Linked DNA regions of Drosophila melanogaster. The protein of the gene in region 2 interacts with the protein of the main gene of each other region in a pairwise test. Each region holds a gene or a part of one and is shown on either strand. Other genes may lie near its edges.

Region 1 (17,223 bases), 330 kb from region 2:
TTACAACATGGATGACTATTCAAAAGAAGTTAAGCTACGATTAGAAATAGCATATAGAAGAGCTAAAAATATGTTAGACAAGGCAAAAGCCGATAGAAAGATAAAATATGATAGAAATATTAGTAACTTTGAATTAAAGATAGGAGATAAGATATTACTTAAAAACGAAACGGGTCATAAACTTGACAATAATTATTTAGGACCATATTTAGTTTCAGAAATAGGAGATAATGACAACATTACAATTATAGGAAATAAAAATAAAAAACAGATAGTCCATAAAGATAGGTTAAAAATTTTTAATTCATAATACATTTTGTTTGGTTGGCCAACCACAAATAAAAAACCACAAATAAAAAACCACAAATAAAATAAAAACCAATAAAAACATTATAATACAAAACTTTTACTTTGCAAAATATAATGAAAATATATATATTTTTTTAATATCTCTTTAATCATTCATTTCAAATATTAATGTACATTTAAAAAAAAAAAAAAAAAAATTATTATATACTTGAAAATAACTTCATGTTATTACGTTATTTTTCAAAAGGAGGGAGATGTAGTATATACGAACATAATAACAATAATAATAACAATAATAATAATAATATTAATAATAATTATAATATGAATCATAATAATAAGTCGACTAATAAGTAAACTTAGGACCACCCTAATTCCTTAGGGTCACCCTAGTAGATCTTTAGATACACCCTAATACTAAATATGCGAATTCAGCATGTACGCCTTTAGGGGTCGCACTCGACTCCCATTGGTTATCGAGTATGAACTTCATACATACATATTGCAGAATTTGCTAGTGTCAGCACTTGGCTGTCACAAGAGATCTGCCTGTAGACCACACTAAGATCAGATATAAATCAGGAATAGATCTGGAATGTACGCTCGCTTAAAGGAAACCAAATAAAGATTGCAATGACCAACTGCGTTTTGAGACTTTATTAACTACATCAGAAGTATTGGAATTCTAATTAACTACAATATATTGTTGTACTTTTTGCTAAAATATAAACTTGGTTTTATTATTATGTGCTTATTAACTAGAAACTTCTGTTTTAATGTCAACAATAGATTTTTTGATTTTTAGGATTTGTACATAAAAAAGTTAATTTTTTTATTAAGCATTTTTTCATTCTACGTGTTCGCTTCAATTGAGCAGACAGTTTTGCGGCTGTAGGCACTTTCCATGGGCGGCTGTGGAAAGTGTGGCTTCAACTTTTCCGGGGAGAAATTTAATTTGCTGCACTTTAAGCTGCAGGCGCCACTTTGGCGCTTTTCTTTTTCCTTTGCAGTTTTCACGATTTTCCATTCTTTTTTTTTCTGACTCCTCCGCGGGCAGCATTTCATTTTATTCAGTCGCTGGTGTGGTTCGCGAGTTTTCTTGCAATTTCTTTTTTAATTTCGCTCAAGTTAGTCATGCGAAATGGCACTTGATGCTCCTTGGTTATGCGTGTATATGGGCATCCTTAAGCAAGTGTGTGTGTGTGTATGTGTGTGCGTAACTGTGTCTGTGTCTGCGTGCCACTCCGCACATTCGTTTGAGTTCCATGGGAATTAACGCTAAGCTGCAGGATCCATCTCCTTCGCCATTCCTTCTTTGGCTGCCGCCCTCTGCAACTCCCGTTTTCCCGCCTCCGCCGACTTTTCCGCTTTTCCTCCTCGCGCATTTGCAGTGCAAATGAAGAGCAAAATGGCAACTACAATAAGGATAAGGACAGCGGCAGCAACAGTCAATTGTTGTTCTTAACTCGGTGGCAACAAGAAGGTAATGCAAATACTTTTGCCATCTCCATGGCAGACGCACACAAAAACACTTGCCACTTTATGCGATATGCCACGCCCCCTTCTATAACTTGTGTTTACGCAGAGAAGGGCGTTCTGAATTTTGAGAATATAATTTAAAGAAGTTTGAATACGAAAGCTTTTAGGGGATAATCGTATGTTCGCTGTTTACAAATTGAATCGTCCCTTTTTTATAAGCAGTTTATGATTTACAATCTAACGCTGGAATGTCCAAAAACGTATTAAAAAAATTTTACAACCTAAAATATGCCAAGCTTTTAATATAGAATGTTTTAGTTGAATAACACTAGAATGCTAGCAAAAAGTGACCTTCGCTGCCACTTTGATGCCAAAAAGCATTTTCATGTTGCCTCAAAATGAAGGCTGCAATGGCCAAAAAGTTGCCTTTAAGTAGCGGTTGCTATTCTGTGCCATGCATCAGTCACAATTTTAGCAGATCGTCACTTTTAAGCTTTAATTCTGAAATTGTTTTTAAAACGAAAAATAAGCTTAAGCAAAGCAAATTTATTAAATAAAGCAAACAAGGCCTTGTTGGATGCTAATTTTTTTTACACCTGTAGAACACAATACTGTCTGGAATTCAAATCACTGTTCTGCACACGCTTGACTGCACTAAACACTGTTGAACTTATTGCCCAGCATTCCGTTTAACCGGATTGATTGCTGTCTTAAGGGTAAACCTGTGTCTATATACATACATAGTCCTGAGCGAGTTGAGTTGACAACTGCCGAGGCGAAGCAATTTGCATTCTGTGCGCGGCCAAAAGATCCGGCATTCCGACGTGTGTAAGTGGATGCTGCTAGCCTGCAATCTCGGAGTCAATGCAAATGCAGTAAGTAAATGCAGAGTAAATGCAGAGTAAATGCAGCAGCGTCTGTGCCGGCGGTAAATATGCAAATAAATGCATGGGACCGGCCAAGTGCAATCACGTGCCCTCGCAAAAATGCAACTGCGACAGGATCCAGAGTCCTGCCATCCTTGGCATACATAATTCAGTGCCATAGCCACTCGGTTGTCTTCCCTTTTTGTACTGTTTTGTTTGATTGCATTTCAATTTGCAGGGTCTTTCTTTTCGATTTTCCACCCACGCGGAAATTAAGCTGCAATCGAATGGACACAGAATACACTAGTGTTTTTTTTATATAAATACCAATTTACCACAGTTCGTGCCTAGATCTGATTTGCATATATTTCCATTTCGGCACAGGAAGTAAGGTAATTTAATGGACAACAGTACTGAAATATTGAAATATGTGTAAACAAAATATGACAGCTTTTCATTGTGAAACTATTGAATAATTAAAGGTTGTCAAGGGAATATAAACATTATTAAAAATTACAAATGAAGAATGTGTCGTATGTTTTAGCAATTTCGTTCTATTGCGTATTCAACTTAATTCCATTTGATTGCTAAATGCTCTTTTTGCAGCCATATAAATTCCATTAGAACTCGCATTTGAACAAATGGTTGGGCCATTCAAAAACCAGCCGCAATAACAATTTTCGAAAATGGCCCTTCAAAAAGAATCAAACTTTGTTTGAACTCCCGTAAATCCGTCCGTCTGCCTTTGGCTTCCACTCAATTGAACATTTTCGGCTCTGGCAAATGAAAATCGCTTCAAAAATGTTCGCAATTGCAGTGCCCGGCCATTGGGATTCGTTTACAAACGGATTCCTACCCCCACATGTCCTCTGATATCACGAAATCCTCGCAGAGGGACAAGGCTGACGTCATGTCCGCATTTTTCACGAAATTAAGAGCGGATATGGGGGAAAATATTGCAAAAATAATTCAAAATATTTTGAGTGATCAACGAAGAACCGCGAATAAATAACAACAGCATGACGCAGGCCTGTGGAAATATTTTCCTTTTTGCTCGGTGACGCAAATAGTGGACCGTTTTCTGCTATTTTTAGCGGAAGGTCCGGCGCCTGTTTTCATAATTTATGTGAACTTGATTTATTTGTGCGCATTTCCGCTCATTTCGATTCCATTACGATTGCTGCTCCCTGGCTATTCCCAATCCCCATAAACCCCCATTCCGCCTGATTAATGGTCGTCAGCACGACATGTGAAAAGTGTTGCCTACTTCTAGGGACCTGTTAATTGCCGACCATAAAATTGGCCAAAACGTGCGCCGGCACGCGAACTAACTGCTGCTCGTCCTGCGCGAGGGGAAATCAAACAATTCAATCTGCTCGCAATTGCTGAGAACAGGATGAAGGCCAAGTCCTCTGGACTCTGGACGTGGCCTAACGAGGAGCACAAGGCTCACTCAGCCAGGGAAAATTAAATTTACAACAAACAACATCAGTTACATGTCGTCATGGCGGGACTGGAGCCTAAGGGCCAGGAGCAGGAATCAGCAGGAATTTGGGATCAGGGGTCAGGGAATCGGTGACTGAAACTTACACTTTAAAAAACAAGTAGCCCTATAATGTAGAACCATCCTGATGCATGTTATTTTAGACCTGTTATGGCTATCCTTGGCGCCGAAGGTCCTTCGATTTTCTGGATATTTTTAAAGCATATATTTTCCAAGTGCACAAAATGAGAACGATAGGCAGGAGTTCACATGTCGGCGGCGCTTCCTTTGGGCGAGTCCTGAGACCTGGCGTTGCCTTTATAGCAATTTAATGTGTTCTTGTAGCCGTTGTTTCACTCTTGTGAAAAATGATTTCGCTTTGCTCCACGCCAAAGCCAAAAAAAGCATATAAAATAGAGGAAAAAAAAAACGAAGCTAGCAATTTGTCTGGCCTTCTAGGAAAATCATCACAATGGCGGTTGTTTAGTGGGCGGAATCCCAGACTTGGCTTTTTGCAAAAGTTAAGGAATTTCGCGTGGATTTACATACATGCGTGCTATTACACATATTTAGTAATTGGTATACCCATTATTTTTATTTTTTTTTTTGTGTGTTTTGGGCCTTGATTTTGAAGAAGGCGTTTCGCCTTCATTACTTTATTTTCGTAGCTCCTTAAACGATTTGGGATTGTGTTGGCATTGCTTTGCTAAGGGTCTTTAAGGTCTGTTTAAATGGCAGTAAAACTACTCGACAATTTCATACAAGCTGATTAATAATATTCACTATCACACTTTATTAAGGCAACCAAGATTTATAGATGCCCACGTTTCCAAACATTTTCCCAGCATTCCACAATGCCCCCGTATATATGCATGCCACACCCAAGAATATCAATAAACTTTGTGGCCAGCAGCTATTGATTGCTGGTGACATTGAACCTTGACATTGCTGCCTGGGAAAAGGATTCCCCAGCGATTGTTCCTGTGGCATATTAATTATGCTGCTGGCCATCGTGGCTCGTGGCTGATCATAAATTAATGGCTCGGGTTCAGTGTCCCTAAAATTGCAGCAATTATCTGCATTATTTTCTTGGGGCATGCCAGGCAATTATGAAAATTAACATGTTTGTGCACAATAGCACACAAGAGCCGCAAACTGTGGCAGCAAAAAGCTTTTACATATTCATCAGCCTACGATGTCTTCAAGGTCTCAAAAAGTGGGTGGAATCCTGTGTATTTCGTCGGTTTTCGGCGTGTGGGTTTTGACTTAATCTGCTTGCTTTATTTGTCATGCACGTACAGGTTGGTGAATTAAATTTGAATTCCCCCCACCGCGCCTGCCTGCGGGGAAACAACTCGGGAAAAACAAGAGCAAATTTCCCAGACTTTCCACAGCATGCCGTCCTTGTTTCCCAGCTTCGTCGTTTTTGCTTATATTTTGGCTACATTTGATTTAGCTTTTTAATCCGCCTGCAATGTGCACTACTCTGAAAAGTATTCAATAAATTGAAATTAAAATAAGGCATTGCTAGTGTGTGGCAGAATAATAAATAAATCCTAATTAGTAAGCACAATTAACTTTTAGTATGTGCTTATTGGAATGTATTGCAATAAAAATAAAAGAACACATGTTATATAAATTGCACTAAATAATGGTTAGGCTATCCTTATGCCTATTTAAATATTTTAAAGGTAGCATAAACTCCAACACCTCGACCATCGCATTCCCATTCTACAGTGCAACCTCCTACAGTGAGGCCTGAGTTATTGCCTCCATTTCTTTGGGGCTGTCAACGCGGCCATTTGAGAGCTATCTCCGTTCTTCATGGCCATGTCAATGATTTGCTCGACTGGAATGCGGCATTTTTGCTGAGCCATCTATGCAAATCTCCGTTTGTCCGAAGGTCGACCAAACCCAAACCCAAGCCCATTTGCCATTGTCATCATGGGGCAAATGGAATTTGCCAGTTAACTCTTCCATCTGGTCACCTCGTGCTTTTGCCTGATTTTTACGCAGTTGTCAACCCGTCGAAAGCGACTTATTCGCCACACCTTTCAGGTGCAGAAAGACAGGAAGGAAGGAAGGATTCGAATCTGGATCCCCAGTCACGCTGTGCGTGCTAGAATGGTCAACAGTTTTATTGTCCGGCAAAGGACTCTGGAAACAAATGTTGATTTCTGCGCACAGAAAAGAAAAGGATTTTTTAGAGGTTTTTTATGTGTTTTCGCATCTGGCGGCGACAGTTGAAATTTTATACTACCGTTGGTTGTTAATGAGTGTCGAGATTGTATGCTTTTTAAACACATTCAAGGGTCCTTGAATAGATTTTGTTATTAACGGCGAAAAAAGTGGAAAAAATATGTCACAAAAGAGCGCCTTTAAATCTAACTTTGTGTTTACATTTTATATCAAAAACATTAATTCAATCTGTGCTAGTATGCAACATATTTCATTTAATTTTATTTATTTATTTTTCTTTCCAATTGAAGTCCTTTATCCCACCAGTTATTTAAAGTCGCAGTTGGTCTTTAAAATGCGCGGGGCAATGGCAAAGCAATTACCCATCGATTTGTTCGATTCGGAGGCGCTCAAGTGCTTAAGCGTCCTTTCACCTTTTTGGCAATGGCATCCTGGCGATTTTGGTCCGTGGATAAACAGCGTTTTGTTTGCATTTGCGTGGCGTTTATTTGTTTGCCCGCTGTTGATGTCTGCTGGTCGAGGAGCTTGGAGCTTGGACGACGAGGGTTTCCCGGGGAAGAAACAGATCTTCGGAGGGGTCAGGACATCTTGCAGACGTGGTGGGTCAAAGGCTCCTGCGGGTATTCCAACCGGTCACTGTTCCCAGGTAAGTCGGAAAAAACACAAATGGTTTACTTAAATTACGGGGCTAAGAAAGAAATGAAAATGCGCATAAAATTTTTATACTTTGTCGAATTTCACGAGCGTTCCTTCCCATCGATTCATCTGTGCACTTTGCAGTCGACGCTTGCGGAATAAAATCCACTGCCCCTCAATTCCTCAAATTAAGTAAAGTGAGTAGGGGAATCCCCTTTTCCATTTAAATTTGCATAAGAGGCATCGGCGAAAGCGGATGAGGATGCGGATGGGTTGCAGTGTAATTGGGCGAAGTGAAATTGCGTTAATATTTAACAAGCCAGCGAAAGTGCAAAAGCGAAGCGCATTAAATGCGGAAAAGGGATACGGAAACGTAGTCCTTCGGGGCAAAGTGCGAAATTATGCGGAGTTCAGGGAGATCCGCAAGCCCTTTCCTTTGCGAGCACGGACCTCAAATGTTAAATGTTAGCCATAAGGTCAGCCAAATGTGAAACTCGAGCCGTGAAAGCGAAATGTTTGACCGCGAAGAGCAGCGCTGATTTTGAGTGGTAATTTCATTTCTCATTATCGTCGTTATGGTAATTCAATAAAATCATGACAATTCAAAATTTCGTGCCCGGCATGCGATTGGAATCTGATTATTGCAAATTCAATTTATAGTGCTATAAATATAAAAAATTTACAAAAGATATTAAACATGAATTTTAACCCATATAATATAGTACAGTTATACATAATAATAATAAAATCCGCAAAGATCTATTTATCGTAAATTTCAAACATATACGATATTCAAATATTTTGGCGCCATTACAGGTACTGAAAAATACCAAAAATACCGTAAGGTAACTATCGATGACGGCGATCAGCTGTGATCATCAATGGCGAACAGCTGATCTGGCTCGCGAATTTTCATCTTGTTGTTGGACTTTCTGTTGTGGACTTTGAAACGTCGCCTCTCGAGTTTAAACAACAAAAGTTACTCAATTTGGAAAGCCATCGAGTGGATAGCCATGTTTCGGACCCGGGTGCACCGCAATCTGTCGTGGATATCGACGAACTCGTCGAGGACAACGACCACTCATGGCCAGCACTACCAATACCTGCAATGTTCCAAGCTGCCAACGCTGTACTTTCAGCGCTCCTTGCCGCGATTGCCCATTCCTCTGTTGGAGAACAGCTGTCGGCGTTTCCTGGAGGCCACCAAGCCACTACTCTCGCCGGCGGAGCAGGCGCAGACCCAGCAAACGGTGGAACAGTTTCGCCAGGGGATCGGCATGGAACTACACGCGAAACTCAAGAGCCATGATGCAGAGAACAAGCATACCAGCTACATCTCGCAGCCCTGGTTCGACATGTATCTAGCCGATCGAGCGCCCCTGCCACTCAACTATAATCCGCTGCTGGTGATGAAAAGCGACGCGCGACCGGAGTACCAGCAACAGGTGGTTAGGGCTACCAACCTGATCATCAGCTCGTTACGGTTCTGGCGATCTCTGCAGGCGGATCTCCTGGAGCCGGAGGTGTACCACATGAACGCCAAGAAGAGCGACACTTCCAGCTACCGCAGGTGGATGAAGGTGGCTCCCAAAGCCTTTGCCACCTACGCGTCTTATGCCTTCAAGGCCTTTCCGCTGGACATGAGCCAGTACAACCGGTTGTTTGGCACCTCTAGGATTCCTAGGATCGGCAAGGACGAGCTGGTCCAGTCACCGGACGCCAAGCACATTCTGGTTATGCGCCGCGGTCACATGTACGCCGTAAATGTGCTGGACTCCAGTGGATACATCGAGAGTCCCAGTGTGATTCTGGGCAGACTAAGGGCTGTGCTTAAGCTTGATGCAGATCGCGAGGCAGCCAGCGTGCCACTTGGTGTTCTGACCTCCGGACAGCGTGATGAGTGGGCCAAGACAAGACAGCATTTTGTTAGCAACACCAAAAATGCCGATCTTCTGGAGAGAGAGGTGGATGCGGCTCTGTTCTGCGTTTGTCTGGATGGCGAAGAAGATGGAGTCTTTAACGAAAACCAGCAGGAGCCGCTGCTCAAGCATTTGCTGGCGGGAAAAGCGCAGAATCGGTAAGAAGTCGACATTATGTAAAGCCTGCCTGATTCACAAAATCATCCTGTTCTGTTACAGTTGGTTCGACAAATCCATTTCCCTGCTTATAAGTGCAGATGGAACAACGGCTATTAACTTCGAGCACTCGTGGGGCGATGGAGTGGCTGTGCTTCGCTACTTTAACGAGCTCTACAAGGATACTTTGAAGCAGCCGTTTGTATCCACGGAGACAGTGCACACTCCCGCCGAAGGCGATTTTAGCAACGTGCGGCCCATCAACTTCGAAATCGACGATGCCACCAAGTCGGCCGTTTCGGAGGCTTATAATAAAAACGCCAGCATTGTAGATAATCTGGACATGAATGTGCTGAAGTACCCACACATCAACAAGCCCACATGCAAGCAGTATGGCCTAAGTCCGGACTCCATCATTCAGCTGTCCTTCCAGCTGGCTTATCGCCAAGCCTACAGCGGCTATGTGGGCAGCTACGAATCCTGCAGCACATCCGCCTTCCGACACGGACGTACCGAAACGATGCGACCGTGCACAAATGCCACACGGGACTTCTGTGAAGCTATCCTCCAGCCGGAGAGGAGCAAGCCCAGCGCCGGAGAACTACGAGCAATGATCGACAATTGCAGCAAGGTGCATGGCCAGTTAACCAAGGAGGCGGCTATGGGCCAGGGCTTCGATCGGCATCTCTTTGCCCTTCGGCACACGGCCCAAAAGGAGGGAATACCAATTCCCGATCTCTATGAGACTGAGGCTTACAAGCGCATTAATAACAACATCATTAGTACCTCAACACTGGGTTCAGATGCCCTGCTAGCGGGTTCCTTTGGTCCGGTGGTCAAGAATGGCTTCGGAATCGGGTAAGCTGACTGCCTGTCGAGATTGGGTATTTGAATGTACAAATGCAGCACCTATTTTTCAAGTTGCCTCGACAAATTGTTCACTAGCTGACAGTTGATAACCCATTATTCTTTCAGCTATTCGATTCAGAACGATTTTGCCGGCGCCATTGTCACCACGTACAAAAACCAGGCCGATGGGAAGGTGTTCATAGACAGTCTGGAATCGGCATTTGATAAAATTTGCGCTGTCATCCAGCAGAGCAGCAGTAGCAAGAAGTAGGAGAAAATCGTGAGGAGTCCGACCCCGAATCCAATGAATATGGCTTTAACGTAACAGGGAGATTTATTTTGATGCTTTTACATTGTATCCCATGTGTCTGAATTGCAATATCTTTATCTACAATTTATAGATTATACACTGAAAACATTCTACCCCATCTAAAGCATCTGTGTCTTTGCTTTTATACCCGCTGCTTTAATGGCTTTTGCGGCTGATGGGATAATAAATTGGCTAACATATTGTTGGGATGCTGCTGGCTTGACATTTGCAATTGAATACGAGAAATAACTCACGTTTTAAAACAATGCTGAAAACAACTTTAAAGTAAAGAGTTTAAGAAGTTTATATTAAAATTGAACATAGAGTTATGATAAACGAGCTGAAGTAAAATCGAATAAGAGCGGTTGAAAGCATTTAAGATTATTTTGCGTAAGAAAATGTTTTTTTTTTAAGAAAACATCTTTCGATCCTTTGTTTTCCTAAGTAAAATCAACACACAGAACGATGTATGGCACAAACCCTTTTGAGTTGGTTTAACTATTGAGTCTCCTTTTAAGCATGCGTAAACTTTGACCTTTCATTGTCACTTAAGTTAAACAAGATGTGTGCCCACGCACACCCTGTTCCCAACTTGTTTATCCCGGAATAAGTGGGGGAAAAACCCTTGCATTAAACAGTTTCTGATTAAAGATTTCCCACACGCTGACCCAGAAAACTTGGCCACCAACCCTTCGGGCCAAGTTGTTGCCTTTCGATTTGTGTCAGCCGCACACGTCAATCGCGAACTCCGCCTAAACATGGCGAAAAGTTTATCAAAACGTTGCCTTTTTGGCTGGGAATGGGGATGTCGCTAAATGTGCTGACGTTATCAGTTGATTTATCGTCAAATTTTGTGCCAACTGGCGTGGCGTTGTAAAAATTAATTAACTTGCTCGCCGAGTCTTCCTGATACGTACACGATTCCGCCTTAATGGGCGGCATTAAAAATTAAAAAAGGAGACATTTACGCGGCGGAGAGGTCATTAAAGCCAAGTAGACTCTTCTGCCAGTGGCGGACAATTAAAAACATATTAAACTGACGTGCTGGAAAGGATGTGCATGTGGATGTGGCTGTGGCTGTGGATGCGCAGTCTGTGTGTGCGAGGATGTGGGTCGATGATAAATGGGCGGTCGCCAGGATTTAATATTGCGCATACGCCGCCGACGCCCGGCAGCTCATTAAATTATTCAAAAATGGGACTCCACTGCCCGTCCGTCCAGCTGGCTACATAGTTGTGGCATTATATGTATCCTAGTACATCATCCTGTTGGTCCATTGTGCTGCGGCATGCGACATGTGGCTGCGATAAAATGTCCTGACGTGAATCGCCTGCTGATGAGTTTCGGACTCAGAGCGCCGTTTAACTTTCCACTTCTTAATCAAAATTGCGTTGAAAGTCAAAAGGTTCGAGAAAGGCCAGGCTGGAAATCAATAATTGTTCTCCTAATTGAATATTAATATTTAATTTTCGCTTTCTCGCTGTGTTAAAGAACGCATCATTAGGCCGGGCATCTGTTGCCAAACTTATCCTGGGCAAGGGCTGCCCGCAAATTGATTTATGGCCGGGTGGTGGATACCCCGCTGGATTTAAGCACTTGTCTTTTGTTCGTGGCAGGCAGCTTCAATTTGCGGCAACAATAATATTTGTTCGACCACAGCAACCGCACGACCGCAAGGCTGTTAGCAACTTCTCAGTGTCCCAGACCACCAGCCGCAGTGCGTATGCGTAATCTTGGTCAAGCTATTGCCGCATGTTAATGCACTCGGGCCAAAAGACAAGCCGCACTTCCGCACCACGGGCTAATGAGCAATTAATATGGAAATCAGTTTTGGCCATTACAAGGTGCCTGGCCAATTATGTTGCGAACTGGTCCGAATTAATGGCCAGGTCATGTGGGAACGTGTCTGGAAATTACAACTGCCCGTTGGTCATACGGTCCTCCGGAGTTAGATTTTATGCTCCAATTTGTAATGAGTTACTAGAGTCCTTTGATACAGGTACTCGGATGTGCTCTGTATTCAGTTGGCAATTGTCATGACTAAAATTAAGCTGACCGTAATTTGGTTAAGGTAACTCGGCTAAAAGTACTCAAGTGTTGGTAGCCAACAACAACGTTTAAATAATTACCAGTTTTTCTCCCCCTTATTTTCAATAAAGGATCATAGTCTTAAAGGCTCTCGAATATCAAAGTGTCAGCTACTGGAAACGACGTCTTAAGCCCAGCCGCAATTTTTCGGGGCGAGCTTCCTTGTGTAATTAACATCAGATTTATGAGCAATTCATGGAAAATGTCTGCACAGGTGTCTGAAAAAGTACTTGAAACTCAATTCAAGCAGCTCGTGCTTGTGTTAAGCATTCAAGTTAATTGGTTTTGCCGCAGGACATTTGGTGAGACATGAGCGCAAACAATGAGCTGGTCCTATAAATGCCAAAAGCAATGCGGAATAATCATTTCTAATTGCCGGTAATTATTTACAAAATTAACAAATAGTCAATGAGCCAGCAGCGGAAACGAAAGCCAAAGGAAAATTAGCAAAACAAAATGGGTGAAAATATATTTCTTTTGGGAAAAACTAGAAAAAGAAATGCGCCAAAATGAGGTAAAAACTATTTGAGTTCGTTTTCTGGCTATTGATTCACCTTCCGATGGTTGGATGTTAGCCAGTTTTTCCGAGAGAGGAAAACAAAGAATTCAACTTGAGGTAGTCGGAAATTGGGTACATTTGTTTATAAACATTTTGGTAAACAAAGGCAATTTGAAAAAAGCCGAACGATAGATAAAAGTAAATAAATGTGGGGAGAAAAACAATTTTATAGTTACACATTATTTCGACTTGGGCAAAGAAAAAAGAAATAAAAGCACAACTTATAAACATTCAAACTTTTGGCAGCTACTTTGAATATATAAGAAGCGAAAATCAAAAGTGATTGGTAATGTTTATGACATTAGCAGGTAATTAATTGCATGGAAACGCAAACAGAATAAATTCGGAAATTTTCATAATAATTAAACGGAAACTGTTCTTGGATTGTGTGGACATTGGGTGAACATTGTTATAATTTTGTAGGGACTTACTTGTATATGAACAATTTTAATTGGATGTGTAGTATTTATTTTAGAAAAATAAAAATCAAAAGAAAGTCCATAAGTCGGCAACATTTGAGTATAAACACACCGCTTAGCGTCATGTGGCCAAGACACTTGTTGTGTGCGCCGTTGCGGGATAAATGCAAATGTTTAGGGACACGGCCAACGGCGCGTATGAGTCATTTTTAATTAAGATGTCAGTCACACAATGGTCCTTAGGCTCGTGCCCTATCTGCCCGGCAACTGGAGCATATACGTATCTGCCGCATCCTGGACGATTAACCCCATACAACCACGTGGCAGCCAAGGGGCCAAGTCAATTAACTTGAGGCACAAAGCCGGCCATTGTTGCGCAACTCGAGTCAGGACGAGTCTATTGTGCCTCGTCACACATGTGGCATACTTGTTTACATTTCCACATGCCCGGTGCCACAGTTTTATTATCATCGTGGGCTCATCACTCAGTGAAACTTGAGTTCTATTCGCTGGAGCCAAGGAAGCGGAAGTCACGCACCCAAGGATGTGCCCCACCTCCTCCCTGGCGGAGGTTAATTCAATTTACTGCCTCGTATGCCTCAAATTTTTGTGATTGTCTCGGTACACACACGTCCAATTGGAGCAGCCATTCGGAAATGCAATTTACCACCAAACGCGAAAAAGTTTTGAATACTTCTGTCCGCCCCGAAACACTCGCGCATTGGCGCCAAAAAGTTTCACAATTCACTGGGGCGAAAATGCTCAGAGCTCAATGCTCCAGCCGGAAGGATCTGGCTCATAGAGTATTCATGAAATTTTAGTTGCCATTTGCTTATGCCCACACCCTGTGATTTAAAGCTTTGCGTGGCATTTGAGATACTTTGCTTTCTTGATTTTATTGGATTTAAAACGCAATAAATACAAATTTTTGAAACCAGCTAAGCTTACTTCAGTTATTATTTACTACAACACGAAAACATAATGAATTAAATACATTTCATGATTTTTAAGTATAAAGAGCTTAAAGATTGTACATCTTTAGTTCATTCCACTGACTTCCAAATGCTTTACGCAGTATTACTAACTTGACAATTCATCCCTGAGTTTCCACCCAAGCTATATATAGTTTCATGTATTTGAGACCACAGCAACCGAGCGCCAACTTCAAAGCAACATTTGATTTATGGACAATGGAAATGTCTGAGCCCAAGACCAGGCGACAGCCAAATGGGAGTTGGCTTCGAGCAGAAGTTATGATAGCCCGAAGCGACTCCACCATTTCCCCCCGTCAAGTGCGTAACTTTCCATTTGGAGCACGGCTATATAGAGAAAAATTTTGCAATTACGTCTAGTGAATTATTTACAGTGCAATCTTACTTGATCCTGCCATACTTAACTACGAAAAAATCGTACTATGCAGCTGAATAGTTAAATATATCGTTAAGAATTAAATTATGAAATTTCTGCGCTCATCATGGCAATATTTTTCCGCAGTGTATCCGGCTGAGTTGCACGTAGAACACTCACATTCTCGTTGGCTTGCCAACTTTACGGCCGATGAATGGAAGGGGGCGTGGTCCCGGGGCTGTGGGCCGGCGAATAAACAAAAAACACATTGACCTCGCCCAAGAATATTGCAAGCCATGCAATAATTCTGCTACTGGCCTTTATGAGGCAGTTGTGTTTCGTCTGGCCGGGATTTCATTACTCCAGTGTATCCTTTATAAAAGGGAATGCCTGGCACCCTCGAAAACTAACCAAACGTGCGGAAGTCACATTTTCTCGAAGGTGAGGGGTGGTGGGTATCTGGGTCAAGTGTCTCATATTTCATTGTAGTAATTACATTTCGCTTTGCCTCTGGCTGCGTTTTACCCAGAGATCTGGAATTTCAAACGTTTTGGCCTTGTCAAGCTGGGAAAATGTGATTTTGCCATCGCTCAGTGCAATGGAAATGCAGCTGACAGGGAAAATATGAATAGTGGTGGTGCTGGTGGTGGTGGGGGTGGTGCCGATGGGAATTGATTTTACAACCGCGGCGACCGAAATCCGCAAACATTTTCGCATCGAAGTCACAATTGCCACACACTCGTGCCGCGAGTATATTGACCTTCGGTCCGAAGGACCCTCCTCTGGCCACGTCATCATCGACTTCCTCTGCTGGCCAAGAAAATAGGGACTAGCATGTTTTCGCCATAAAGCAGCAAAGCGGTTATTCCTGTAAGCCATCAACAACCCAACCCCCACTTCCCCATCACGAGCTATGCCATTGTTGTCGTCTAAACTCGCTGGCAAGTGATGTGTGCAAAGTGGAGATGACGCATACGCCCCGTCCGCCGCTCGCGAAACAAGGCCAGCTGCAGCTAAATGTTGCAGGCAATTAACCGTTTAATTTGAAGGCAGTGCCTAACCCGTTTTGGAAAACGGAAAATTTAATTTCAAGAAAGCTAATCAAGGGCTTCAACTCAAAATCGTGCACAGCAGGAAAACAGGACCGTAGGTTAACTTAAAAACGGCTTCAGGCTCATCATACTTAAGTTTGTTTTGTTTATCAAACTAATCTATAGTGCTCCATAATGTTTTTTTTTAATAATTATTAATGCTTTAATGGCTTTGCTGACTGTTATTTATTAACCCCGCAAAATTCAGTGGCTGTTTCGTTTTGACATTGTTATACTTTGCTAATTTTTTCCTTTGTGTAGACTATTTTTAGAAGGGAATCGGTGTGGAAGAGCCTTATCCTGGCAGCCGGAATACTAGGCAATTTGCATAAATTTAACATGAATCAATGCTGCACGGTGTGGGGGGAAAAGCGGAACGGAGCGGAAGGAAAAGCGGGCGGGAAATCCAGACGGGGGAACCATAAAACGACGAAAGTAGGGAAATGCGTGAGCGAACAATGAATGAATGATTCAAACACACAGAGTGCACATAGATACATACATACATACACTCCTACATAGTACATAGCAGTTATGAGAGGGCGTGAATGGCCTACGCCTAAATAAATCAATAGGGAAACCAGCCACAGCGCGTAAATTAAGCCGAGGAAAATTGAAGGAAAATTGCAGTGCGCCACATAAAAGCAGCCACCCATTTTCATAGCCTGCGAAAATTTATGCAGATGCGATGAGGTATTCCTAATCCTCGTGTAATGCCAGCTAATTTCGAATATGTCTGACTGAATGTGAATTTCTATACCAACAAAGCATAATAAGTCTAGCAATTGCAGAATTTAGGCTTAATAAATGACGCTATAATGTTTTATGTTCAAGGAAGTGCAATGTTATTGCTATCATTAAAACATATTTAAATTAAATGAACGTAAATTCCAGTTTATTAAGCTAAACGGAAATTGGTAGACATATTTAATTAGAAAGAACGAATGAAATATTTAATGGAAACTATTTAATATGCGTCATCTAATAAATATTAATTACATATCAACATATCAATAATCAACATATGTGATTACGTAGGAAAAAATGCATAAATTAATTTGCAAAACCAAATTAAAACAGCTTGTACCATTAAATATTTAACAAGGGTTTTTTCTATTACTTCAATTTCCTGACAGTAATTACATTCTATTTATGATTTGATTGCATTCAATTCAATTACAGCTTTTGCATTTGTGAGTATAATTTTGAATAAAAAATTTAAGGGTTTCTAAAACGTTTTTATGGATGAATTGTTTAATGTGATATGTTTCTCATTTATGTGATATGTTAGCTTTATTCGTTTCTCAAAAGGCAGTTCCAAGTTTATTTCCTACAACAAATCTTATGTCATCTTGTTCTAGAATTTTACAATGCTGCTTGAAATTCATTTGCGGTTCAGTTACATAACAATAAATTATGATTTTTTTATTATTTTGAATGAGACCAGTTGATAGCCACTTAAGAGTTACATTTGGCATGACCTTGAGCATGGTTTTACCCTACCCTAAAAGGG
Region 2 (16,640 bases):
GGAAGAAGACGGGGCGACTGGACGGCGATATATCCGAGTTCTACATGGTGCGGGATCGCAGCGGCAAGCAGTTCCTCATGAGTCCAGTGAGAGAGTGAGCAGTTTTCTTCATTTCCGATTCCAATAAACACTTATTTCATTGATTAGACCCACGAGGAGGCAGTGACTGCCATGCTGGCCACCACCTCACCTATTTCCTATCGGCAGCTGCCCTTGAGACTCTTCCAAATCGGTCCCAAGTTCAGGGATGAGCTTAAGACTCGATTTGGTTTGATGCGAGCCAAGGAATTCCTAATGAAGGACATGTATTCCTTTGATGTCAGCGAAGAAACAGCCATGGAAACTTACACACTAGTTAATGCTGCATACGATAGGTTGTTCAAACAGCTGGAGGTTCCTTTCGTTAAGGGTAAATATAATTTCCGTACCGAAAAAAACTGCATTACTAACATAGATTTCATTTACAGTGAATGCCGCCACTGGCATAATGGGTGGCAGTGTATCCCACGAATACCATTATGTATCGCCCGTGGGCGAGGACAACCTACTGCAGTGCAGTTCCTGCGGCTTTGCTGGCAACTCTGAGGTTGTAAAGGCCCCAGCTAGCTGTCCGAGCTGTAACAGCTCGGATTTGAAAGAAGTTCGAGGAGTTGAGGTGGCCCACACCTTCCTGTTGGGGGACAAGTACTCCAAACCCTTGGGCGCCACTTTTCTCAACACCACTGGCAAGCCGCAATCGCTGGTCATGGGCTGTTATGGTATTGGCATCACTAGGGTTATTGCTGCCGCTCTGGAAGTCCTCTCCTCCGACCACGAACTCCGTTGGCCAAAGCTCCTAGCACCCTACGATGTGTGTTTAATAGGACCCAAGCAAGGAAGCAAGGAACAGCCGGAAGCGGAAGTGATAGAGAATGAACTTCTTCTGAATGTAGGAGAGATTTGCGGCCACCAGGAGTTGTTGCATGATGATCGCAAGGAGCTGACTATCGGCAAACGTTTGCTGGAAGCCAAGCGTCTCGGACATCCGCTTACGATTGTAGTGGGAGCCAAGTCAGCCCGTCTGGATTCCCCCAAGCTGGAAGTGCACACCAGCAAAGGAGAAACATATGAGCTCGATTTCAGTGAAACCCTGAAACTGGTGGCAGAACATAGCCAGCACAAAAAGAGTCTAGAACGAGGATGTTTTCAGAGTGAAACTGAAGAAAGTAAAAGTCGATCGGTTGGCCATCAGCTTTAGCTTTATGCAATAAAGGTAACAATAACACACAACTTTTTACAACCGCGCATCCAGACTGATTAAACGCAAATCAACGCCCGAGCAGCGTGCACTACTATAATGACTAGTGATCCGCGTAGTCGGGTTCCGGAATCTGCGGGTAGATCTGTACTTGAAGTTGTGGCTTGCGTGGCGGCGGTGGTGGCTTAGTCACCATGCTGGTGTACGACCAAGGCATCTGGTTGCGCAGCTCTTCGCTAACGCGGGGATTTACGGGAGCAGGATATATCTCGCTGTAGCGATTGTTTAGTGGCGACGTCACCGCCAGTTGTTGGACAGCCGGCGAAGGAGCACGTGGAGTTTGTGGCTCCGAAGGTGGATAGTTGAGGTGGTCGGGATGAGCCTCGGTGGTGCGATAGGTGTTGATGTCAGGCTGCGGGGACACAACATCTCTCTGCTGAGGAACTTGTGGTGGTAGCACCATCACCGGCGATTGCAAAGTGGTGCGATCTCCGGGTGCGAACTGCTGGGAGTTTGGACGCTGGGCACCCTGCTCCGAGGGAATGAAAATGGGCAGCGGCTTGGGTCGGATCTGCTCCGGATATTGAGGGCTCTCTTGCGGGGCCGAAGGCTGAATGGATTCCACTAGCGTGGCCTCCACCACCGGCTGGACTAATGCCACCGCAGGCTGTGGTGTCGGCTGTCGGGTGGGAGCCTGGCTCCTGCTCAAGGCGGCTGATTTCGCATTCTGCTCCGCCATGATTCCGGACAACGAGAGACAGAAGGTAACTCCAATGATGTTCAGCAGCCAGATGATGGCTACGCGACTTGTGAGGCACAGTAGAAGAATCGATGGCGTCGAGAAGTATACGCCGAAGGGCTCCATTAGAGTCCAGACATTACTAACAATTTCGCTATATGAGACTCCAATGTAATCAAGTGCATCTTTCATGGACTAAAATGTAAGAATTATAATTTATGAAGACTGGAACATAGTTTACCATACCGTTGTATGACTTATGTCGATTCCATGATACACCGTGGCCACCACATCTAGGATACTGCCAGCTAGCACGGATAGGAACCAGGGCCAATAGACCACTCCGGAGATCAGCTTGGTGGTGCGATTGCACAAAGTGGCTGGAGTGGATCTTGAGTTATTATAAAAACTAAATGGCTTTTTGCATAACTCACTTATTACCAACACCGAAGTGGCTACCCAGACTCCGCTAATAACTGCGTAGGTTATCATGAAGATGAACTCCCGGTTGGTAATGGCATAGGACGTCTGCCAATCTATGTTCAAACTAAATTGTTCGTCTGCCACCTTCAGCACCGGCTCACCACATTCCTCCTCTGTAGCGCAATTGAATAATATGTTGCAATAGCGTTCTGTGAAACCTTTGAAACAAACCCATACTCACGTGCAAAGTAAATGAGCTCCATGGCGTACTTGAAGGGATTTTCGCTGAAATCAGTAACGCCATCCGGACAATCTCGGAAGGTGATGCCCCAGATGGACAAGCCCAAGTAGGCAACTCCCTGGACCTAAAATATATATCAATGATGTTACTGACTAGCGCAATTGGAATGTTGAGCAATCTTTATGGCACTCACGAGTATGACAATTGCCATGAAGAGTATAAAGCACTTGGAAAATCCAGTGCCCATGCCGGCCATCTTGATGGAGTGCTATTCCTTCGGCGCGGGATTTTTGCTATTCCGGGTAATGGGTTGTGCAACCTGTGATCGCTGGGCCAGCCAATTGCCTACTCGATAAGACAACGCACGCTTTGGGGCTATAAATTCAATTTGAAATTACAATTCGTCAATGCGAGGTCTATCTAATCAGCTTGATTAGTTTTTTGGTGGATTTTGCATATGGAATCAGGATAGCTCAATCATTCCTAGCTCTTTCCTTGCCACACTTGAGGACAACAGACTTATCATTAGATTGGATGAATCACAAAGGGAAATTACGCTGTCGTCACTACAATAAAGTATACGCAATGTTGGCCACAAACAACGGAAACACACTCACGCCAAATCACAAATCGTTATCTCACCGTTGGAATTGAATTCGCGGCTTTCTCGGAGGTGGAATATGGTAGGCAAAACGCGTTCGCCGGCTGCCTCCTTTGGACTGAGCTCTTCCATCGAATGGCCATCGACTCTGGGTCTCCAAATGCTTCGCTCTTCCAAAGCGATAAGATAAACCTAATGAATTTAAGGGTTACACCTGTTATCAAAAGCACCAGAACGGATAGGTGACTACCCCAGATTGTGACCCGCAGTTGCACAATAGCTGCGCTGAGTGCAAATATCTTTCTTATTTTGTAATACAAATTGAGTGCGTTATCAACGAGCTTTTAGGTTTATCATTTGTAAATATAGGCGAACCAGCCCCTAGTCGGGTAAACAAATAAAGGTGTCCCACCAGTTAGCAGGAACTAAATTTTAACTCACAGCTGATGGCGAGTTTATCGGAACGACAAGTGACTGACATATCAAGTTGGACGCGCACGCTGCGTATACTTGATATTTGACACTCAGTTATGTGACTCGTGTGCTTTGGCTATCGTCTTTATAAGTTGTAAGTGATTGATTGGGCATCGGGGGTTTTCTTTATCAGAACTGATTCATAATACACCCAAAGAAGCACCTCAAAAACTACATGCAGCGGTAATTGTTTTGATAAACCTTGTTTACTCTTTGTACATGCTGCCACTGGGAAATTAAAGTTTACTCAATAAAACATATTCACACCTTGCAATTCAATTGAATTATACCATTTGTATAATATAATAATATGGTTTCTATCACAATAATGGGCTTCTGGAAATTGGTAGTAGATTATTTAAATAGAAATAGGTAAAAATAGTTTTTTGTATGATTTGGCTGTTTAAGAGTTTAATCTCTATAAACATTCTCAAAAGCTGCCTAATAAAAGTCAACAATAAATTTGCAAACATAAGATAAAGAACGGAAATAACATTTTTCTATAACACAAATTCACACCCTTCAATTGTGCATTACTTATTTATTTACAACCTCCGTCGTATAAATGCTTGAGAAATATTATCTATTGTAAGATAATTAGGGTCGTTGATTTGAAAAGTATTTGGCCATATCAGCAATAAACAAAACCTCATGCCGCTTTCTCCACAATTTTTTTTAATCAAAGTGCAAACAATTGATTCGCAATTCGTTGACTAATGACATTGGTCATCGGGCTGAAGCTGATTAACACTTTGGGCCATATATAAACACATCGATTGGATAGTTCGCGGGCTCCAACAATTTGGCAATGTTTTATTAACCCAATTGCAGTCCACATTTGCAACACGCTTTGAGAGAACATACAGTATTATTTGCTTGGAAGCGAAATATTTGCATACGTCGTGAGTTTTTTCCCACCGGAGATTCTGGGAAGGTTTCGGATATATCGTTCATGCCTGGATGAACCGCTAGCTTCATTAGGGCCTGTGCTTATCCGAGCAATTAGAGCCTCAATTTTGGCAGAGATCCCCGGGTAGACCTGGCCACCCAGTTCATCACTTCCCGCAGCGTGTGAATTGGAAATGCAAATAAAGAGACTTCGGATCTGATCAGATCACATGACTTTAATTGAACTTGGCGTGTCATAAATATTCGAGTGGCGGGATGAGTTGGAGATGAGGTTTACAGCTAGAGAGTTCAGAGGTCGACCGGCTTAAACGCGAGCCGAGAGAATGACGGGATCGGCCTCCACCTCGGCCACCTTCTCCTTCAACTTCTCCTCGTCCTTCTTCAGCTTCTGAATGGGCTCCTCCGTGGTGGTGGTGGTGGTGGTGGTGGGGGTGGAGCTGCTCACAATGGTCAGGATAGTGGTGGAGCTCTTGTCAGCCTCCTCCTTCTCGACAGCCTTTGTGGTCGTCTCCACCTTGGTGGTGGCTTCCTCGGTGTTTGTCACAGATCCAGCCAGGGCCACCGCCTCCTCTACACTCTCAATTGGCGCCGTGGACGTAATCGATGTTTTGGTGATGCTAATCTTGGTCTGCTTGCCATCGCTGCTGTCGTTATTCGAGTCCTCCTTGATGGTGGCCGAGATCAGCTTGGTGTGGTGCACCTGGAAGGTGGGAATCAGTGGCAGGGCACCACCATTGTGTGGCTGCACGGACACATGATCGATAATCAAGTGGGCGGGTACACCATCCTCCCCATCGGGCACCTTCCTGGTGGTCTGCAGCAGAATCTTGCGTGCCAGGCCATCGTCAGCTGTGGCCGGCGTGGACTCATCGGATCGCTTGGTCAGCGCGTGCTCCTCGTCCTCAGTGATCGCAGCCGGGGATTCGGGCTTCACCTCTTCCACCTCGCTGCCCGGCGCACTGGCCTGGTGCAGACTCAAGGCGGACGTGAACAGACTGTCCTCCAGATCTCCGATCAGGCCGTGGAAAGAGATCTGCTTCAGCTCGGCATCGGGATTGGCCTGCACCTGCCGCTTGACCACATCCTGTTTCTCCAGCGGCTGAAAGCCCGAGAAGATATCACCCAAATCGAAGGGTGCGGCCAACGAAGAAGCCGCCAGGGTCGCCAGCAACTAAAACATAAGTAGAAAAGTGAACAATTAGATAAGTTCAGCAACAACATGACTGAGCTTTAATATTATAATTCTCAATTCTCAACTAGGTGGACATTCCGTAGTTTCTTTGGTGTAACCACAGTGATTAAGTTCATATCTTAAAGTCCTTGAAAGATCTTCACTCACGGTGGTTAGCAACGTGCACTTCATGGCCACTGCTACTGCTGCTTTGGTCCGGTTGGTTGTGTTCAGCTCCAAGCTCAGATCGGAAATAAGTTTACAGCCCAGTGGACGGTGAGTTTTTAAAGTTTTTCGGCGCCCGCCTAACCGCCGACTGAAAGTTGCGACTAAGCTTTATTATAACGTTCAGTTAGCACATTAATCGCTTGGTTTGCCGAACTTGTTTTGGTGCCTGCGCGTGCTACTCCCTCAATGTTTGGGCCCAAACCAATTCTACTTGTCATTCGTCCGTGTTCTGTTTGTTGTCCAGCTTCACTTATTCGACACTGTAAAAAAATCTCTGGAACACTGGACCATTCCTCAGATCTAAAATATAGGAATGCAATGAGTGTAGTTTTCAAGTGAGATAAATCATACTCAGCGCATAATCCTTCTATCTAGTTAACACATCTTCATCAAAATATAACTCCTCTTTCAAATTAATGATAATATTTTGAGCCTTCATCACTCAAATTTGTATCAATTAGTTTAAATATATTCCAAGGACTTACATGATGTGACCCAGGAGTTTTAAAAACACATCTTAGAGCGGCGCTGTTAAGTCCAAGTTTGATTGTCTTAATTGCGCAAATTAACATATATTTACTAAAATTAAATTTCCAAGAAGCCGATCAAAATAAAAACAAGATCAGTCTGAAGACGTTGAAAGGCCAAAACAAGCGCACAGAAAGAGAGACCGCAAATTATTTTCGGAATATGTATGTATCTTCGAGATACTTTTACATCCCTGGGATGAGTGCACTTTGTTCCAATTACAACTGCGCCTCTTTAACACTTCATAATTAGAGCGGTCGCCATGAGATCACCGGGGCACAAAGTTGATATGCGAAATGTGCAAATTAATTTCAAAAATTTTCCGCTGAAACAAAGGTCCATGCAGAGGTGAAAACTTGTTAAAGAAACGCGCCTGGAAATCGATTTGCCTCCATATCGTAAAACCGCAAACCGTTCACTGTGCCTCCGATTTGCGGGAGAAAGACTGGCGACCAAAAAAAACGCAGAATCCGGCCAATCATGAATGAAAGTCAAGATCTGGCTGGTTATGCCGGAGTATGGGCGGCTTTAGGCGGTTAACTCTAGTGTGGGTTAACTCGATAACTCGGCGAATTATAAAAATCACAAATTTTTAATTTAATTATGAATCTATGAGGCATTCGGCGGGGGATGTGCGCAATATCTCCACATCTGCTCTCTAGTTCTCGGCCTGAGTCAACGAAATATTGGTACTTTCAAATTCTAAAGTTCTCATGCCTAAATTGTACAAAGTACCTTGATTAAAACCGCAGTAAACTTATTATACTATGAAATAACGAATCAAAGAATTATAGCCATTTCACATTTCATACAAGAATAATATTTTACTACCACACAAGGCGTATGCGTGATTTGGAGAAAGATTCAAATTGAAAGAAGCTTGGCATGTGATGAATAAAACTCTCACATTGCATATCAAATGCAAACGATCTTGATATTCTGCGATCGAGGCACAAGTGTACGTCATACGGGGCGTATGCTTAATGTGAAATAATCTTAGTAGACGGGCGCGTGTCCAGACCACATGCAATGATCCCGACAAATGCGTCACCGGAGGTGCAATGTTTATGGGCTTATTTTTGGCCAGAGCCGAGGAGTAAACAACGGCGCGAGAATTGCGTAGACAGCCCTTGCCAATGATCAATATTGGTGGGGATCCGACTGGGGGACAGTCCCTGGGACACGCTCCCAAAACGAGCACAATTAATTAGAGTCTGGGCCGCTCGAAAACAATCGTCAGTCCAGCCGAAACGGAAGCCAGGTCCGAATCCGCGCCTAGAAACCGGCGACGCAGACCCCGGAGAGTGGCAAACCCGTCGGGCAATTAACAGATGCCGATAATTACGCGGAATCGCGCCTCGCCAGCGGACGCGGCCGAAGCTCCAGCGGCACAGTCGCTATAAAAGCGCTCCGATCTGCACTAATTAACTTTAAACGCGCGAAAGTCAGGCGAGCCACCGGAGCCACTATCCCAGCAGAGCTACAGCAGCAGGCCGTATTCCCTTAGCCCCAAAAAGCCTAAACCTTAAGATGCAGGTCCACCAGGCTGTGTTTGGAGCCGCCGTGCTCGGCATGCTGTTGGCCATCGGCTGTTCCCTGCCCGTTTTGGATGCCAGTTCAGGCATCGACAACGCCACCATCGAGGAGCTGAGGGCCAGCGTCAACGATACGCCCAAGAATCTGTAAGTCTAGAAAGGATAGTTATATCCAATAGTTGGAACTCTTATAGCCAGAATATCTAATAAAAGTAGTAACAAATAAGTGATATATTATAAACTTGAAAAGATTGTTAGAAAAATTCAATATTAGTAGTTAGTATAGTCATAATATTTCCACGCATATTACTTTGTATTCTTACCTTAAAATAAATTGTGCTAATTGAAACAATACATATATGTAGAAAATGACGTAGAAATCACCAGAATTAACTAATTAATATATTTTTGGTCACGTAGAAAGTCTTCTAATCGTTTCTTCTTTTCCTTCCAGCTATGTGGTCAAGGCGGTGGTCTATGAGATCGGCATCCTGACGGAGGTGGGCGAGAATGACACCAGTTTTGAGAGCCAGGAACGCGTGGATCTGACCTTCTACGACACGCACAGCAACAAGAGTCACATTGACCTGGGCAACATCCCGCTGCCCATCCAGACCAATGTCACCGGTCAAGTGCTGACCGGCATCGCACCCGTGAATCTGGGAGCCTTCAGCAGCCCCCAGGAACTCCTAGAAACCCTTCCCCTGACCGGAAGCATTGTGAACATCACGCACAGCGACACCGCCTTCTATCAACTGAGCAGATCGAACACCAGTGCCGCGGACAAGCCACAGATTCTGGATCAGGATGCGCTGGCCAAGCTCACGCACGCGGCCCAGTTGTTCCCGCCATCGTCGCAAATTGGCCAGTCGGTGCCAGTGAACCCAGCTGCCGATAACGAGGTGCCCCAGACGGAACCCGAGGATTAGGCTTACTCCGCGGAATCTCATCGTGATGCAGTGCGTTGCTCTCCAAGCAATCTATAAATACGTATACTCTAGATCTACTTAGTTTTATGGCTTCACACTTAAGTACCTACAGTGCTAGAAAAGACTGGACGAGGACAAGAGATCGGCAACATTGCCGTGGTCACATCACAAGGTTGGAATTTCACTTTTCTATGGCAAAGTAAAAATAAATTTCGCATTAGTGCTAGGTAAATGAGGCGTCTCTCTTCTTTCCAACTGGTGTTATCTGGTCTTCGGATTGTGCGAGGTGGTCATAGTCATGTGAGTGGCGAATGCTAAAAGCATTTCCATCACTTCTCACCTCTGACGTCGGCGGATGGTGGAGTTGAGCAAAGTCGGAGGCCCGGCTGGAGCCCCTTGAGGTGCAATGAAAATCTGCTCTGGTCGTAGCATTTTATATTAACTAAGTTTTTAATTTTCTCATTTTCAGTTTGTTTGTTGTTGTTTGCTTGCTTGGTTGGTTGGTTGGTTGGTTGGTTGTGTGTGTGTGGTTTTGCATTATAACTGTAGTACATGGGGATCTTAGGTGGTAATAGATGATATATATTTTAATATTAATAGATAATGTGTAATATAAATATAAGTTTAAACTTGTACACAAAAATTAAAATGTCGAACGTCTCGTCGTCTCTCAGATCAGTTTAGAAGAGTCCTTCCCCCCCACGCTTCGCTTCATGCAACTTCCTCCTCTCTGCCTCATCATCATCATGACTGTTCGTACAAATAAGCTAGAAGATTCGAGAGAAGAACGAAGCGAGGCACGTCATCTATCTGCGGGGCGGGGACCTTTTCAAAATGTATATACATACTGCAACACACATTTGGATACTCGTAGTTCTCGTATAAATAGTTTAGTTTTTAACTAATTTACATAGTCATCATGCTGACGATGCGCTCTGGCGGCTTCTTCATAATATGCTTTAAATATAGTTAAATATATATGTATGTATGTGGTATATTTTAGTAGTAGCTACAACTTCAACTTATGTGCACACTCCAAAACGTATGTAACTAAAATCCGTAACTAGTATCTCTAGTGAATCTATGCCGTTAGCGTTATGTGTATCGCGTATCCTGTAGCCGCAGCAAGTGACGCTGGCTTGTCCCTCGTTTTATCAGGTCAGGTGGTCAACGGCTTCAACGGCGACGGCTTTTGCCACTCTGCTTTTCCCTCACCATCCGCCCCAATTTCTGATTATTTTCTTGTTCTGCATACCGACATCCGACTTACAGAAGTAAAGGAGCGGGACCGTGAGGCGCCAATGTCGCGTTCGGCTTAAAAACGAAACTAATGTTAAAGCGCTGTCAATGCTGCAAACGTTGCGAGATTAGGTTTTTGGTTGATCCAACATGCTCTTTAATCTGCAAAGACAAAAACAAATTATTAAAATATTATCATAATGTTACTCTAAACATTTTCAATCCATTGATCTGGAAAATCACGTACCTATGACATGACTCTCCATATTTGTGATGCGTGGCTTCGATGCGGGCTGTGGTATGATGGTGATCTCATCGTTGATCTTAAGCGGCTTCAACAGAGAGTCATTGGCCGCTCCCAGCGAACTGCGCGACATCCCTGCCCCAGATCCCGACCCGCTGGACTGCGCACTGTTCTTCTTGCTGTCCATCGCTTTTCTGGCCACGGTACTGTGGGCGGTGTAAACGTGCGTCTCAAACTGTTTGTACATGCCGAAGGTCGCCGTGCAAACGGTACACTTGTAGGACAGGTGAGCGGGCTTCAGGGTCATATGATGATCGCGCGACACGTGATTCAGCAGCTTCCATTGGTACATCTAAAGGGAGAGCGGCGATTTTAGACATTGTTTTCATCGTCCATTTATACGAAAAACTCACCCTTCCACAGACCGGACAGCGACCAGCATCCTTGCCCTTGTTGGCAGCCTCCTGCATGGAACTTGTGACCAAGCCATGTGAGCCCAGCAAGTGTCGCTCCAATCCCTGATCCGTAAAGAACCGGAACTGGCACTTTTGGCAATTCAAAGGCGGCCTATTGTAGATCATCTTGGGGTGAATCTGTTGCAAAACAAAGCATTTGTTAGCAAAGGGGAAAATCGGGGAAAATGGAAACTCAGCTCTACCTTCACTTTGTGCATCCACTGCATGTGGTTGCGCAGCTGCTCCAGATCCTTGATGTAGCCATCGCAGATCTCGCAAATAACAAATTGCGCCTTATTGTTACCGCTGGGACTCTGGCCGGGCTTCATTCCTGCTGCCGCTTGGGGCGCTTTGCTGGACGAGGCACCCGCACCGGCGCCCACCGAGCTCTGACGAGGTAATGGCGTTATCGAGATGCTGGGCTGTCCGGCCATCGGCTTCTTGGATGCCTGTATAAATAGATCGATATTCGATTAAAACCGGTTTTTAATGGGAGAGTCTATTTTGGTACAGCTAAACATGCTACACATATACCCTTTAAAACCCAATTCCAATGTTTAAATAATTTAATGTAGATTATAGAGCGTATAAATGTAGTTTACCTGGACAAGCTGTCCGGCTGCCAGCTGATAGCTGTTGGGTAACGAGAGTCCCGCATTCATCGCGTTGCCTCCGCGCACAGGCGCCGGATTTCGCACTATGTTCTGTTTGGGTGGCTGCGGGGCTCGCTGACGCATCTTGGCCGCATTCTGGGCAGCTAACGCGGCTGCCTGGAGGTTATTCCTCGCCTGCGCCGCCGCTTGCTGCTGCTGGATGTTGGCCAAAGCGGCCTTTTGTGCCGCCGCCTGTGCTGCCATAGCCTGGAAGGGATTAAACCGATTATAAACTTATTGCAAAAGACTTAGGTGTAGATATTCCTACCTGATAGGCGGTGGCAGTGCCCACAAGACCATGACGAGGCTTAATGCGCGGTATCTTAGCCGGTGCCTCCCAGTCGTTTGGCGGCGCCAGGTTAAGCTCCGGCCGGAACTTCTTAGCGCAGACGGGCTGATGTCGGGCCAGCTTTGCCTTGCCATTATCCTCAAAGCCGCAGTTGGGACACTGGTGGTAGGGCAGTGGCTTTATAAGGCGCGCCTTTATGTTGTGCACAGCCTCCATGTGGTAGACAATCTCCGTGGCGTTCCGTATCTCAAACGTGCAGAAGTTACACTTGTACAGCACTCCGTTCATGTGCGGCGTCTCGTAGTGATTAGCCATCGCCATGGCAGACTCCGACTTAAAGTTGCAGAACTCGCATCGCTTCATCCGGAACTTGAAGGGCGCGTTTTTCGTCTTGGATGCCTGCAGGTTGCCAGAGAGCGCATTGATGGCCATTTCAAACTCCTTGGAATTTTGCACCTGCGCCTTGCGCATCTTGCGCTTCTGCAGACGCAGCAGATCCGACTGCACGTACTCCTGCACCAGACCCACGCCAATGTCCATGAAGAACTTGCCCAACGGACTCTCAAAGTAGTTCTCCTGTCCTGGCTTGTTGCCGCCCGGATTGTTTACCGACACTCCGCCCGCTGTTGCCAAGGCAGCGGCGGGCTTGATGGCCACCTTCAAGGCGCTCAGGTCATCGTTTGCCTCCTTGATCAGCACCTTAGTCCGTACGCCCGACTCCGAGTCGTCGTCGTCGTCTTCGTCGTCATCATCGTCAGACTGCTCCGACCAGGACTCGTCGTCACCTCGCTTTTTCTTTTTCTTTTTGCCGCTTTCATCGGCCTGATCCGCTGGCTTGTCCTCTTTGTTTTGCTCGGTCATCATGTCGAACTCGTCGCCCTTGTCTGCCTCGGCCAAATCCTCAGCCGACAGCGCATACTTGGTCTCAATTGCTTTGACGACCTCGCAGATGTTTTCGCGTGGTGGCTTTTCATAGATGTAGGGTACAATGAAGGAGGGCGCTTCCAGGACAAACATGTCGTCAGTGAGACCGGGCAGCAGGTTGGCGTTGTTGGTCATGCTGGGCAGCCCGGTAAGCGATAACGTTGGCGGATTCAGCTGCACTGGACTGGCGCTCATGCCGCCCGCCATGGGAACTAGCTTAGGCGGCACAACACCCAGATTGGTGGCCGCTCCCGTCACAGCATTCGTTATGGTCACCGGGTAGATAGAATCTCGGGGACCCGACACAGAGCTCGGACTGCCATCGAGAGGCATCAACGAGCGGGCATCCTTAATGGTCAGCTGGCCCATTCCCGAGGGCGTCGAACTTCGCTGTCTCTTGTGGCTGGGCTGTTGCAGCTGCAGGTCATCTAGGTCGCTCTTGCGCTTGCCGCTGGGCGAAATACTTAGCGGTGTGTCATCTTCAATCACGACGCAGTCGTCGTCATCATCATCATCCTCATCATCCTGCACGGGCGGGGGCGGGATGGCCTTGACAACTGGCGGGAGCTTCTTTACTGGCGGCGGTGGAGCTGCGGATTCCGTATCCGAATCGGAGGCTATCAGAACAGCATCGTCGGAGGATTCACCACCACTAGAGGAAGCCGGTTTGGCTGCCTTTTCGGTGGGCTTGGCCGGCTCCTTGTGCTCCGTAATATCCTCCATTTCCTCGTCACTATCCTCATCCAGGTTAACCACACCACCATCGGAGGGAGCTATTGCCGCCCTGGCCTCTGCTATGCTGGCTTGGCCGTTCTCCTTCTGGTTGGGACTGGCCCCAAACCCATTCTCCTGCTTTGCTGGGGGCTCTTCCTCGACGACCCCTTCGCTAGCTACGCTCTCCTCGCCATCTAGGTGCGCTTTCTTCCCGCTGGCCAGTTCATCGTCAGGAACTGTGACTGCTCCCAGGGGATCTTCGGCCTCGCAGCTGTTTTCCGCTGTGCTACCGATCTTTTGGGCATCGTCTTCGTCCTCTGGCTCGTGATCTCCATCTCCGTTTGTGGTAGCCTCCTCGTCTTCTTCATCCAGTTTTGGCTCCTTCGAGCTGCTGCTGGTAATCTGTGAGTCTTCGTCGTCGTTCTCCACTTCGTTTTCCTCCACGTCTTCGGTCCCGTCCACCTCCATTATCTCGTCGGCCACTGGAGCTTGTGGAGATGCCTGGGCAACATCCTCTTTACTGATATCCTTGCCGCCCGCGGAAAGCAGCTCGAGCTTTTCATTGGAGGGGGCCTCCGGCAAGTGCACATCTTCCTCCTGCTGCTCCTCGACCACCTGCTCTTCATCGTCCTCCACAGTTGTGACCTGCTGCTCAACATCATCTGCTGATGGTTTACTCTGTTTTGGGGAACTTGATGCGCTGGCAAGCTTTGTCGTGGGCTCGGCCACGCCCTCCGGCAAAACGACATCAACTTCAGTCATTTGAGGTCCGTTCTCTGCTCCGTGGAATGTGCCCAAGTCGGTTTTTCTTCCAGCTGTTTGTGTTTCTGCAAGAGACACAATAAAATTGAAGAATTATCAAAACTGAGTTGGGAATTTAAATTTTTACTTAATTTTACTTAATGGCAGCTTCTTCTTAAGACCAACCGGAAAAATTGGCACGTAAAAGAAAACTAAAGTATCAAAAAGCAACGAATGAGCAGCACAAAGCGCAGCGGGCGAAGAGTAAAAATAAAAAGAGCTAAAACTGCAGAAAGAGGACGGCGAAGGGGCGAGGCGAGGCGAAAAATTAACAATCACCGAAAAATATTTGAAAATCTAGGTGAATTAAGAAGGTGAACTCAAGAAAAGGCGGACCAAAAACAGGGCAGCAGCGGTAGGGCAAGGGGAGCGGGGGAAGTTGAAAGAATGGTTTGATACAAAATGGCTGCCATATTGGATTAAAACTAAAATACAATTTAATATGTAATGTAAGTATGTAAATGGCTTTACACTGCAAGAAAAAAGAGAATGCAGAAACGGGGGGGGGAGTTATGGTTTGGCGATATATGCAATTTATATACTTTGGTATTAACACACTTGCCTATAAATATATATTAAACATATATTTATATATGTTTATGTGAAATGTTTGTATGTACAAACGAACAGTTACCGAGCAGAGCCAACAAAACGATTGACATACATACAGACACAAACGCACACACACCGCCTGCACACACAAATATACAATCTATATATACGGCACATATATATTTGTACGCTTGTAAGCACAGGGGGAGGGACGCAGGGCGGGGGGCGGCACGGATGACGACGTTTGGCTTTAGCTTTATTTTTTGTAGTTGTTTTTGTTGCTCGGCTGGCGGCGTGGTGGAGTATACTACCGCTGTTGTTGCTGGTGTTGTTGTTGTACTTTTTGGTACAGGAGCGTGTTTTTGCGCTAGTGTTTGTCCCTGTGTGCGTGTGTGTGCCGCGCTTGCTTGCGTATGTGTGTGTGTTTTTTCTGCTGCTATGTTGGATCTCACCTTACTTTTCAATATTCTAGGTTTCTTTCAAACTAAAGACGATTTTCAGCGGCATTTAGCATTGTTTTTGTTACTTGGCGGCACTTACATTCACATTTTCCCCTCACAATCGGCAGGTTGTTGTTTTGTTTCGCCTCCCTTTTGGTCCCTTGATCACAATAAACAAAAAACAGAGCTGCCAATAAATGAAAGATCGTTTTCTTTACGAAATAACCAGGGAAAATCCGAAAATTTTGCGTGGGGTTTTTTTAATTGGAGAAAAAAAACTGAGCAGAAAGAACGCCGAAGGCGGAGACACAAGAGACGAGGAACGAACAAGCAGGCAAGGCAAACTGGAAATGTGTGAGGCGGAAAAAGCAAAAACAGAGTTGCAACGAACAGCAGGGCGCGCGCAGGGTTGCACGGCTTATCGGTTATCGATTACCGGCCATCGATAGTGAGCCACCCAAAGGTGCCAATTGCTGATTTCGCAATTAATTTTTAATTTAATTCATATTTTCGCTCATTTTCCTTCTCTAGTAACGGTAATAGCTTTTACATTGCCGGCTATGGAGAGGGCTCTCTTTCACTTGAACGCCTCTCAAAAATAGCGAATAAGCGTGTGAAGCGCATGGCCCGCACACATGGGCCTTTGTGCATGTGTGTGTGTGTGCATGAATGGAATGGCGTGGAATGGGAGGGAAAACAAATTTGACAATTGTACGCGCGCCACGAACGAAATGAACAAAACAAAACTGAAACGGCATTGCTTGTCGCCGGTTTTACTTTGATGGATTTATGCGAATCGGCATGTGCGGAAATTCAAACAGAGCGCGCGAAAAAGTCTAGATGGCTTTAAATATCGCAGATAAATATGGCAAATTGCAACTCCCCCGCCGCCGCACCCCTCTCACCAACACACTCACTCATACTAGCACACACACTAGCGTCTTAAACTGTATACTCATCACGATACTTTTGCTGATGCTTCTTCTTTCTCCTCCAACTTATTTCAGATTACGCTGTCCCTCTCTTTCGCACCCACGGCCCCGGGGTATATACAATCGTACATATCTATCTATATGTATACATACAACTAAATATGTATGTCCGTATGTAAGTCGCCCTATGCATGTGTGCGTGTGTGTGTGACTGTGCGATTTGGTCTATATGCAAGTACAAAATTTGAAAGTAACCCGCTTCTGGCGCATTTTCCATCCCCGTCCCCTGACCTCTGCCCACCCCCTCCCCCATGATCGACAACTTGGTAGAGGTCGAAGGGCATCCGGAGCAAGGAGCAAGCCACCTAACCAATCGCCATCA

Evidence for each region.
Region 1: the proteins of CG1246 (region 2) and CPT2 interact in a two-hybrid assay, tested with the Drosophila melanogaster proteins (one large-scale study listed by BioGRID).

What each region holds. Positions count from the first base shown.
Region 1 is NT_037436.4:2,973,138-2,990,360, forward strand, and holds CPT2 (carnitine palmitoyltransferase 2), read left to right. Parts: upstream 1-7,884; 5' UTR 7,885-7,985; coding exon 7,986-9,049; intron 9,050-9,110; coding exon 9,111-9,905; intron 9,906-10,022; coding exon 10,023-10,167; 3' UTR 10,168-10,414; downstream 10,415-17,223.
Region 2 is NT_037436.4:2,634,788-2,651,427, reverse strand, and holds CG1246 (uncharacterized protein), read right to left. Parts: upstream 3,381-16,640; 5' UTR 3,283-3,380; exon of another isoform or gene 3,258-3,282; intron 3,207-3,257; exon of another isoform or gene 3,016-3,206; 5' UTR 2,897-3,015; coding exon 2,834-2,896; intron 2,765-2,833; coding exon 2,641-2,764; intron 2,573-2,640; coding exon 2,411-2,572; intron 2,357-2,410; coding exon 2,223-2,356; intron 2,172-2,222; coding exon 1,341-2,171; 3' UTR 1,238-1,340; downstream 1-1,237. Other genes in the region: ProRS-m (Prolyl-tRNA synthetase, mitochondrial), read left to right, coding at 1-86, 148-409, 468-1,237; CG1143 (uncharacterized protein), read right to left, coding at 4,929-5,795, 5,964-5,987; CG14949 (uncharacterized protein), read left to right, coding at 8,082-8,233, 8,541-9,015; MEP-1, read right to left, coding at 10,412-10,416, 10,502-10,850, 10,912-11,091, 11,157-11,402, 11,556-11,813, 11,875-14,295.